Linked DNA regions of Saccharomyces cerevisiae S288C. Changing the gene in region 1 together with any one later gene gives a genetic interaction. Each region holds a gene or a part of one and is shown on either strand. Other genes may lie near its edges.

What was found. Genes that interact genetically often act in the same process or in processes that back each other up.
Region 2: mutations in UTR2 (region 1) and PDR11 together harm fitness more than expected from each alone (negative genetic interaction), as found in Saccharomyces cerevisiae (2 studies listed by BioGRID).

The regions. Positions count from the first base shown.
Region 1 is NC_001137.3:75,717-80,319, reverse strand, and holds UTR2 (chitin transglycosylase UTR2), read right to left. Parts: upstream 2,268-4,603; coding exon 864-2,267; downstream 1-863. Other genes in the region: CYC7 (cytochrome c), read left to right, coding at 343-684; YEF1 (NADH/NAD(+) kinase), read right to left, coding at 2,889-4,376. UniProt on the Saccharomyces cerevisiae protein: Dual chitinase/transglycosylase that plays a role in cell wall architecture. Chitinase and transglycosylase activities are coupled. Required for the polysaccharide cross-linking at the septa and the cell wall.
Region 2 is NC_001141.2:327,283-334,242, forward strand, and holds PDR11 (ATP-binding cassette multidrug transporter PDR11), read right to left. Parts: upstream 5,161-6,960; coding exon 925-5,160; downstream 1-924. Other genes in the region: alpha-1,3-mannosyltransferase MNT3, read left to right, coding at 1-713; YIL012W (uncharacterized protein), read left to right, coding at 5,729-6,070; TIR3 (Tir3p), read left to right, coding at 6,445-6,960. UniProt on the Saccharomyces cerevisiae protein: Transporter involved in the uptake of sterol.

The sequences.
Region 1 (4,603 bases):
ATAGCGCCCCTTATTGAATTATTTTCCTTCGTGCCTTCTCTGAGAAGGGTCTGCAGTCCCCCGCCGAGGGGTCTTTTCCCACCTTCTCAAAGCTAATAGCGATAATAGCGAGGGCATTTATTCAAGTTCCAACTACTATAAGTGGCCGCAAGGGGCAAAGACAAAGGCACACAACATATATATATATCGTGTTGTGAAGCTCGAGAAGATTAGATCAGAATAGTTCTCTTTTTGTTGAGGTTGAAACAAAATCAAAGACTTATACAAGAAGATCACATACAAGCATTTATTCACATTACTTTAAGTAAACTTCAGTAAACTACATTACATCATAAACAAAACATGGCTAAAGAAAGTACGGGATTCAAACCAGGCTCTGCAAAAAAGGGTGCTACATTGTTTAAAACGAGGTGTCAGCAGTGTCATACAATAGAAGAGGGTGGTCCTAACAAAGTTGGACCTAATTTACATGGTATTTTTGGTAGACATTCAGGTCAGGTAAAGGGTTATTCTTACACAGATGCAAACATCAACAAGAACGTCAAATGGGATGAGGATAGTATGTCCGAGTACTTGACGAACCCAAAGAAATATATTCCTGGTACCAAGATGGCGTTTGCCGGGTTGAAGAAGGAAAAGGACAGAAACGATTTAATTACTTATATGACAAAGGCTGCCAAATAGGCTATGTCGTCGGAGGAGATATTTATTACTTTTATTATTCTAGTTTTTTACAGTTATTTATTAATTAATTATTTTTATATGCATGCGAATAAAAAGTCTATATTTAAGTTCTTTTATTTATTAATACATTTTTTTTTGAGAGTCCTGTGTAGCCTATTTGTTCTTAGATGCAGATCCTCCTATAAGACATAACCTAGGATGACACATAAAACAGTCAAACGCCAGTTTGCCGCTACGTTGGCACCTGCGTTATTACCGCTCATTGAGCTTGTACTGCTGGAGGCGCTTCCGCTTACAGAAGATGTTGTTTGAGTTTGGGAAGTGACGGAAGAGGATACGGAGGATACGACTTTATCTCCGTTCTTAGTAGCAGTAGAGGAAGAAGAAGAAGAAGAAGAAGATGATGATGATGATGATGAAGCGGTGGAACTAGTCTTACTACTCTTCTTAGTTGAACTGCTGTGATCGGATGACGTTTTGGAGGAAGAGGTTGCAGTTGAGGAAGAACTCTTTTGGGTGGAAGATGTGGTAGCTCCCTTATGTGGGTCCAAGCCAGATCCCTCATCACTGTCCATCATGACCTCATCATCGGTAATAGCAATGTCTTTGGCCAAAAATTCACTGGACGAAGTATACACATAAGCAGAAGTACCATTCTTCTTGGTATCGCTTGGTGGATCATAACATGTGATATTAACTTCATTGACAATAGCATAATAATATCCTGGGTTGCTGATATCGGATGCGTCCCAATTAATTTCACCACCAGACCATGCAATGGTTCCTGGAGCGTTGGTAGAATTACCACCTGGCCAAATGGAAATATCCACCTTGGATGGGGTTTGTGGGTATTGATATTTTTGGGTGGTGGCGTTATAAGTTTCGTTCTTGTACAAGGTTCTACCGACGACACCATCGATGGACCATGTTACATAATCTTCGTGCCAATCTAATTCGTAAGTATGGTAGTTTTCAAATGTATCAGTAGTGGAAATATTGGCAGAATTCGTGTAGTTCAAAACACTTTCCCAATAGAAATTGGTTTGAGCAGTTTCTAGATCAGCACCGACGAATTCGTAATCAAGTTCATCACCTGCGCCGGAATACAGAATGAACCCAGTGACCACACCAGCAAGATGTGACGTCTTTATTCTAGCACTGACCTTACCATACCAAACAGCCCTCGTGGAGGAAAGAACGGTACCACCACTGTTCTTGGGCATCGCCAAAATTAAACTTTCTTCATCATCATAATCCAAAACGTCACCAGTATACAACCAATCAGCCTCACTAACATTTCCTAAGAAAGTGTTAGCATTCCCCAACTTAGAGGAATAATCTTTGAATTTAGTGGATGAACTCTTGCAGATAGGTACAGGCATACATGAATCATGACTAAACGAATATCTTACATCACAGTTGTTCAGACAATATTGACCAGTACCACATTCACCATATTGTGAGCAACATGGTTTATCTTCGGGACATGCTTGAGTTGCATTGCAAAATGTAGCGGCCTCTACACGTACCACGAAGGAAAAAATACTGACTAAACAAATTAGCCAACTATTAACGATTGCCATTATTAATTATATAATTAGCTTATTTGCAGGACAATAAATAGAAGTTTTACAAAGGGAACAGGGTCCAACAGAAACCATAATCACCAGGAATGTTGTTCTTTTTATACCTCAGGCATGTTTTAAAAGCCTCTTCTGCAGTTTTAATTTGGAAACTATCCACCTTGAAGATTCCCACTAAATCTTCGAAGGACGACGATTTTCTTCGAGGTTGAAAAAAGTTTTTCAAGAATTTTCGCGCTTCTTCCTAATCGGGAATTTATCTGTCATAATTATAATTCCCTATTTGGGAATTGGAACGAAATATATGCTACTATTTTAAAAATTATTCTGCACCATTCCGGAAATAACCTTCCGGTGACTGCAAGTTAGGCAACCTTATCATATGGTTAACTAGCATAATTACAAACGCGCATGAGGAAATTTAGCGAAACTACCTGCCAAATGCGGCGCTCTGGTTCAACTGTTTCATTTCTCCATTTTGTATAGCTCTACTGGATCTTCTTCGACACTGCAAACGACGCAAGAGCATTCTTGAAGTAAAAGAGGTAAATACAAAGCTGTTTACAGGCTCATCATCCATTATGAACCCTTGACTACGGAAACGCAGGATGTGGGAAATCGTTAGATTGCAAAATGAGCCTGACGAGTCCGTTCAACAACTATTTCTGTTTCTGTTTCCGTTACGGATTTCCTCTCCTCATCTTGTGCATCTGAGCTTATGCATGAACTCTCGAGGGGATTACTTATGGTGTCGTTTCCATTTTTCGATGAGTCTAATCTATATTTTTCTTGATTTTTTGGCGAGAGAATATGTGCAAATGGCTTCTGCTCTTCGCGGTCATTCCAATTAAGATTTTTACTGATACTTTCAAAAAATTCACTGGCAGATGACTCGATAGTCGGTACCGAATAGGGGCTTGCAGTTATCACAACATAGTCACCCTGTTTCAATTCAACTCTATCTTTTCCGTCAAAATTCACCCACGACGTCCCTCTTGAGTTCATATCTACTCTAACTTTTAATTCCATGCTATCTGGTAAAATTATAGGCCTAAAGCTCAAAGTATGAGGACATATAGGCGTCACCGCTATGGCATTTACGCTTGGCGATATTAAAGAGCCTCCTGCACTCAATGAGTATGCCGTGGATCCCGTAGGCGTGGCAACAATCAATCCATCTCCCTGAACCTTAGTCATTAGTGAGTCGTTTCCATAGAGTTCTAATAGGGATAAACAAGGAGCTGGACCTCTATCTATGGTTACTTCGTTCAATACGTGATGTTCGGAGATGAAATCGATGTAACATATTTTTCTCCCAGTTGCGGCATCAATTTCTGGTTTATTTCTACGGTAGAGTTTGCATTGCAACCTCATTCGTAAATTAATACGAACCTCATCTGTTAAGATATGTTTCAACGTTTCTTTGAAATTTTGAAATTCAAAATTTGTTAGAAATCCTAATGATCCAAGGGCAAATGGAACAATCGGCGGAACATCTTTCGTGAATATAGATGAAGCAAAAAGGACAGTTCCATCACCCCCTAGTGTAATCATCAAGTCAAAGAATGAATCGTGTTTTTTAACAAATTCTTTTGACCAATACTTTACTCTGTTTTTACTGCAATTGCTGTCTTTGCAGAGGTCACCAACAGCAAACTGAGTTGACTTTTTAAAAATATCTTGTACATATACAGTTATTGAATGGAAATTGCGTAAGATCCATTCCACCACTTCTCTCATGAGAAATACAGTGGAAATATCATTAATATTGCAGATTATTATCAGGTTTTCAACCTGCAAGTCAACCTTAGCATTTATAAGATCCTTTCTCAAACGCCTTACATCGTATGCAGTATCAACATAAAATGGGTATAAATTACTCGTGTCCTCACCGACAATTGTTTCGCTCGATAATCTTCTGACCCAGTTTTTTGCATCATGATAACCGCACCTCATTAAGCCCGGTTCTTCGAAGTTGCTTAATACCTTGCCTTCCGCTAAAACTTTAACTGATGTCATTCTGTCAATAGTATCCATAGTATCCATCTCAGCATCTCCCTTGGTACATGTCTCCGGGGAAGCGTTAATCAGTAATCTATCAGTTTTCATATTCTCTTTTAGTAAAAAATGTCACGTAAGCAGATTTATTGAGATTGCACTATTTCCATTTCCCTTTCACAACGCTATAGAAGTGAGATGAATACACTAACCTGATTGTAGGTTTATTTATATATATAATATCAATAGCTAGCAGTTTATTAAACGACCTGAAATGCAGTTTCTTCGATCACCAGATAAGTCCGATTATCCTTTTGTTTTCGATTTTCTTGAGGACC
Region 2 (6,960 bases), on another chromosome or scaffold:
TAGTTTTTGATTCGTCATTACCGTTTTCTTCCGAAACCTCAGAAGAAGCATCTGTGTATTACAATTTTTTCAAAAAATTACGACTCCATCATGTTGATAGTGGTTTGGTTGTAGTCAATAAACTTGAGAAATTAAATGGATTGTTGATGTCTTTTATGTTAAATTTGGATGGAAAATTGCAGAGGTGTGTGTATGGTGACAAGGAAATATTCTGGTTGGGGCAATTATATGCTGGCCAGGATTATTCTATCAATCCCGTTGATGGCAGTATTATTGGACCTGTTAATGAAGAGCCTGAAAATGATGACGGACATAAAAGCGGGATGTACTACATTTGTTCTACGCAGATTGCACACAGTGACTCCAAAAATCGATTACTATGGGTAAACGGTGGACTGAAGACTTGTAAAATTTCGAACAGTGCTGAAGATGACTTTGGAAGAGAGCCAGAGTATTTTAAGAGTAGATATGGGGACATTTCAAAATTAAAAAGGATATATGATGCTTCGTTGAACGTAGAGGGACTAATCGTTCCTGACGTTTCTGTTCATCCATGGATGCAAATCAAGGAATGTTCTAATTATATGTATTGTGCATATGCTACGGGTGACGGACACACAAACTCTGAACTTGACGAAGGTCGTCTAATCACGTTTACTGAAAAGGAATTACGATATATCAATGATATTTCTCGAACCTGGAATGCTAATTGAGAAAAAAAAAAGTGAAAAGGAAATGAGAGTATTAATATTTATTAAGTATGGAGCATATATAATCCGAAAAATGATTATAGATTAATTTAGAATATGATTTGGGAATAAATTAACAATTAGTTTAAAGCAGAAGGCAGCCGGATGAGGAACAAGAACTGTTGAATAGTATTAGGTAATTTTGAATGTTTTCTAACGGAACGCTATTCACTGATTATACGCTTTGTTCGTTTGGATTATGAGATGTTTTGGACCGCCTCATTGATGGGATACACTTCTTTATACCATCAATCACAGAAGGCCAAATTTTTTTGATGTAGGTTAGGTAGAAGCCCACAAACATGGCGGCAATGTTAAAGCAAACGAAAACCCATTCAAAACCAAAATTTCTCCATCTGTGATGATAACTCATATTTTCTTGAGCAAGGAAGTCATCCCCAACAGTGTACATGCAGTAGGCGCAGACGGTGTATGTGTTATTGATGTGCAGTTTCCCACCAAATTCATCAATAAAGGGTTTCATAAACTGACCGCAGGTTTGACCCATTACAGGTTGGCTTGGTACCATTTCACTTGTCGAGCAGTTTACTTCTCTGTCATGGAGAAGTAAGCTTACGAAAGTTTCAATGAAATACGTGTATGGTGAAACCCTGTACATGAATGTCCAAAATCTTGGGAATAACGAGTATGGTTGCATAACGCCACAGAATGAAGCTGTGAAACTATAGAGGAAGGCAACAAAGACAGCGGCAGTTTGTAAATCGGGGGCAGAATATAGAAGCCACAACCCAAATGACAAATAATACATGGAAAATAAAATATAATTCAAGTAAAAGACACCAGCTACACGGGCAGAGGTTTCGAAACCGCAACAGAAGTAGCAACACAGGAAAAATAAGGTAGAACTGGAAATGGCTAATGGTAATTCAACAATAGTTTGAGCAATCAAAAGAACGGTCCAATGATAAGTATTAGATCTCGCTTCCCTGGCGATATATACTTCTTTAGATTGCAAAGCCTTATCTTGAACCTGATTGATCAAAGGGGAGGAAACACAAAGCATCATGAAGCACAAGAAAATAGCATCTTGCAGACCGTTGATATTATGCTTTGTCCTCCAAAATGAAAATCCAATGAATAGTCCAGCGCCAGCATTCAAAGCATATTTAGCGAAAACATAGGTCATGTCTCTCTTGGTACAAATGTACTGTCTCTTTGTGATTAACTTTATTTGTTCCATATACGAAGGCGGACTCCATACGGACGTAGTGAAATCAACACCAGATTTCCGGGCTTCTTCTTCTAATAAAAGCAAATCATCAGCAACCCGCACTTTTTCTGGAGAGGATTGCCAGAGTTCTGCCCAGTTAATTGAATCAGATTGCTTATGGTAAGATACTGGCTCATCAATTTTGCTTGAGGTTGGCTTCTCTGCATCATCCATTGGAATATTTGTACTTCCGCTACCAACAACGTCAATAACGAAATCAGCCGGATTATCCATTTCTCTGTCAAATGTTAGGCGTCTATCGTGAGCTACAAAATAGTCACAGGCATTAGGTAATGAACCAAAATAGACACACTCACCACCTCTTTTTAGTAAATAGATGTTATCAAAATAGCTGATGACACTTTTGCTAGGCTGATGAATAGTACATAAGATAGCCTGACCTTGCATCGAAAGCTTTTTCAGAAATTGCACGATGGTTAAAGCTGCTTCGGCGTCTAGCCCTGAAGTAGGTTCATCTAGGAATAACAACAGAGAAGGCTTAGTGACCAATTCAACACCAATAGATAATAATTTTCTTTGAGTTGGAGATAAATCAGCAACCAGTTTTTCCGAAGGCAATCTTAATAGGTTGCTAACAACTCCTAAATAGTCTCTATCCCCATCACCTCTTAGGACGCAGGAAATTTCCAAAGACTCTCTCACAGTTAAGAGCTCTAAATGAACATCTTGCTGTTGAACGAACCCTATACTTCTTCTGAATGCATCAATATTCGTTAAGGGCTGTCCATCGATTAATAATTCACCGGTAACAACCCCGCTTTCGGTCCTTTGAGACAAGACATTCAACAAAGTTGTCTTACCAGCACCAGATTCACCCATTAGGGCAGTTAATCCGGAACTTATATATCCAGAAGCGTCGTTGATCAATTTTTTGTCTCCAATGGTATAATTGATATTTTTCCAGGAGATGACGTGCTTTTGCGTTTCCATAGCTACGGATTCCTTAGTATGATTGTTAACAGTTTCATCTGGATGTTTAATATTGTAATCAGTATCGTATTGATGCGAGACTGATGGAACAGAAGAGGATGAAGTGGAAAAATTGGCTATCGGGGTCTTGGGAGTACATACGCCATCGTTGTTGGTAATAGCGCTTTTATTATTCTTTTTTTGGCTATTCAGAAAGGGACAGTATCTTTTGAGATAGTTATTCCAGCGCAATAAATTTTCTCTAGTAAACAGAGGCGTGATATATTCCGCTGCTAGTAAAGAGCAAAATAGGAAGAAACACAGAAACCCAATGATAATACCGAAATTTCTCCACACGTGATGGTAAGTGTATTTCAATCCACTTTTTAAATAATCACGGCCTCTGACGTAATCGTTACCTAGGGTAGCGCCTTGCCAGGCACAAGCTTTATGACTGAATGAAATATTGTCATAATATTCACCTCTGGGAATAATACTTTCATGACAGTCTAGTTTCAGGTTAAACAATTCGTTACTCAAAATGGCTTCCATGGCAAACATAGCAGGATTCAAATATGCAATCCATATGAACCATGGATGCATATCTTTCATATAAATAACATAGGACGCGTACATGGCAATGGCTAACAGTAAGATACCGGCCAATAGGTTTGCCATTGATAGAGTTGGAGCGATCAAAGCAGTTAATGCAAATAGTGACACCATGCAAAAATTATAGACGGAAAGGAAAAGCAAAAAGATGAAAAACCTAGCTGCATTGTACTGTAAATGGGCCAAAAAGTAAAGTATGATTGTAAAAATAACCACCAGTATAAATTTAGAGCAGCAATCGAAAAAATTTGTTGCTAAAGTTTCCACCCAATTATAATAAAAATGGAGCTGGACATGTTTACGAACGACGGGTTGCCTTTGAAAGGAAGCAGGCATGTCGGCGAGAGAAAGAAATGTAAAGAATAGGATGGAAAAGAAAGTTAAAGATCCTCTAGAAAACGAACCAATTGTTGTCAGGGGAATGTTATAAAAAAGGGACCCAATAACCAAAGACTGCACCACAACAGAAACAAATTGAGAAATCAAGTAGTTTCTGTCACCAATGATTCTTTCGAAAGCTCTTACAGTGCACGTTTTCAGTTGCGTCTTTAGCGGAATACTAAAAATGGGGGAGATATCATCCGGATTAACATCTTTTCTGGTGCATTCTTGCACTGTTTTTGAAGTGATGGCCTTCCAGTGTTTATAGTATGGAGACTGAATCCATAATGTATGCAAATCTGTTTCATTATTGATGTTTAAAGCTTGATTTTCTTCAGAAACAACAGATGGAGTGTCAAGACCAACAATGGAATTAGACGTTTCCTTGAACTTAAAATTTAAGATTGATGTTAAATATTCAATAATACAATCGTTAGGGTTTTTTTTTATCTGTAAGGTGTCATGAAAATGGGTTAAACACTCCTCCATGGTTCCGTAAAACACCTGGAAGGAATCACCTAACATAAGAATCTTGTCAAACTTGCTGACAATTTTGTCGCTTGCTTGAGAAATTTTAACAAAATTCACCGATCTTGTAGCTTTTGCCATCTTTTGGGTAATGGAAAGAAATTCTAGGGCGGTGGCAGAGTCCAAACCCTTCGTCGAGTTGTCCCATAAGTAAACAGACCCATTGGCAATAAACGTTTCTATAATGGAGATACGTTTCCTTTCACCTCCAGAAACACCACGAACGTAGTCATTACCCACATACGTCTTCTTTACGTGCGACAGTCCGAACTCTTTTAATAACTCGTCTCTCATTTCAATACGCTCTTGCTTGGGAATGTGAAACTTACAACTCAACGCAAAATCAATGGTTTGCTCCACCGTCAGATACGGGAAGTGAATATCTTGTTCGTTATTATAAATGATCTGATGGGGGCATTTGGAAGCAAACTGTTTGTACTCATTGTCTTTGAATCTAATAGACCCTTCAGGCGAGTATTTCAGATGCTTGTGACCATGGAATAGACCTTTGAAGAGCGCTGATGTTGGGTTTCCCAGTACTAAGACGACTTCACCTTCATTAGCACGAAAAGTGATATCACTAATTTCTAAATGGCCTACGTTTTTGAATTCCGATGCGGACTCTTCATCGTTCTGAACAGCACCGAGGGATTCTTCCAATTGAACGGTAGCCCCATCAAAGGTGACTGAAGCGTCAGGAATTGGATTAAAATATTTGGAAAGAGACATCCGCGAGGCGTTGCTTCTCTAATTTTACTCTATCGTGTTTAGTTGTGAATTTTTTTGCTACAGTATGCAAGTTCTTTTTACCAACCCGTTTACGAACTAATGAGAAAAGGGTTTAAGTGTGTGATAATACTATTAATAGCTAAAAGAGCAGAGAGCTTTACGATGTTGTATGTTGTTTTATATAGGTGAGAGCAGGATCTGCGGAAAATACTTCGTACCGTAGTATCCATTTTGCCTATGGAGGAAAGCTTGTTTCCAAACCAGGAGATCCGCAGACAGGAAAAGTTCGAGGCCAAACAAAAACCGCAGCACAATGGAGTAAAAGTCGAAGGCACGGGCCCCAAACGATAGAGTGGAAGTTGTAGGAAACAAAAGTGGCCGTCTATGTGGCGCTTCTCTGCGGTGAATTCTGTGCGAAGTGCCTAAACGAAAACGGACGGAGAAGGCTGCGGGGGGATATCCCTTGCATAAAGGATGCCCGGCACTGTCCTAGACGGTGCCTTCCCTTAGAGACTAGGAGAGACTTGAGTAGGAGAAACTGAGCAGGAAAATTCGAGAGATAAAGTACATGTGCCTAGGTAAGCTGTACTTCGAACAGCTAATATTAGTAAGATGCATAAAGGGGCGTCAAAGTGGAAATATAACGACAGGAGAATCTCGGTGTGTAAGTTGGAATGTGTATTGCACCACTTCCATGATTGGGCTTTTTTCCTGGCGCAAAATGTTGCTTTTTCAACATTTTTCTTATACGCAGAGAGAGAATCGTCAGATAGGTGGTAAAACTTGGAGCCTAATTAGCTCATTATTTCATTTGAACGAGACATTGGCTTCTGCCCTACATCACCCATACGAGACATTGGCCTTATACGAGGCGTACTTCGCCTTGCGGGAAAAAAAATTTCTTTTGTAAGCGAGGTTACTCAGAAACTGTGACTGAAGGCAGAGGTTGGAAACGTGTGTAGACTCCAAATGGAACGATAGGAACGTGTACCCTACCGCTTCTGCACACGTTTCTTAGATATGCGTGCCTTAAGGCGACCCATTGTTCCTGTTTACCATGATTTCTGTAGGCTTTTTTTTAGAAGGCCCTAGAATGGATTGCAGATTTCCGTCTGAGAAGGCAGTATACGTACATATGAATATATATATACATATATTCTTTGGTGGAGAGTATAAGCGTTTCGTCTCCTCTTCCTTTCTCTACTGCAGATTTTCTTGCTGGTTGTTTGATTTTTTCTTTTTAGTGTTCCCCAGATCCAATTGTTCAACCGCCCACACACAACAATGTCTTTCACTAAAATCGCTGCCTTATTAGCTGTTGCCGCTGCCTCCACTCAATTGGTTTCTGCTGAAGTTGGACAATATGAAATCGTCGAATTTGACGCTATTTTGGCTGATGTCAAGGCCAATTTGGAACAATATATGTCCTTGGCAATGAATAATCCAGACTTTACCCTACCATCTGGTGTTTTGGATGTTTACCAACATATGACCACTGCTACTGATGATTCCTACACCAGTTATTTCACCGAAATGGACTTTGCTCAAATCACCACTGCCATGGTTCAAGTGCCTTGGTACTCTTCTAGACTGGAACCTGAAATCATCGCTGCTTTACAAAGCGCGGGTATCAGTATTACCTCCTTAGGTCAAACCGTTTCCGAATCTGGTTCCGAATCTGCCACTGCTTCCTCAGACGCTTCTTCTGCTTCTGAATCCTCTTCAGCTGCTTCTTCTTCTGCTTCTGAATCCTCTTCAGCTGCCTCCTCTTCTGCTTCTGAATCCTCTTCAGCTGCTTCT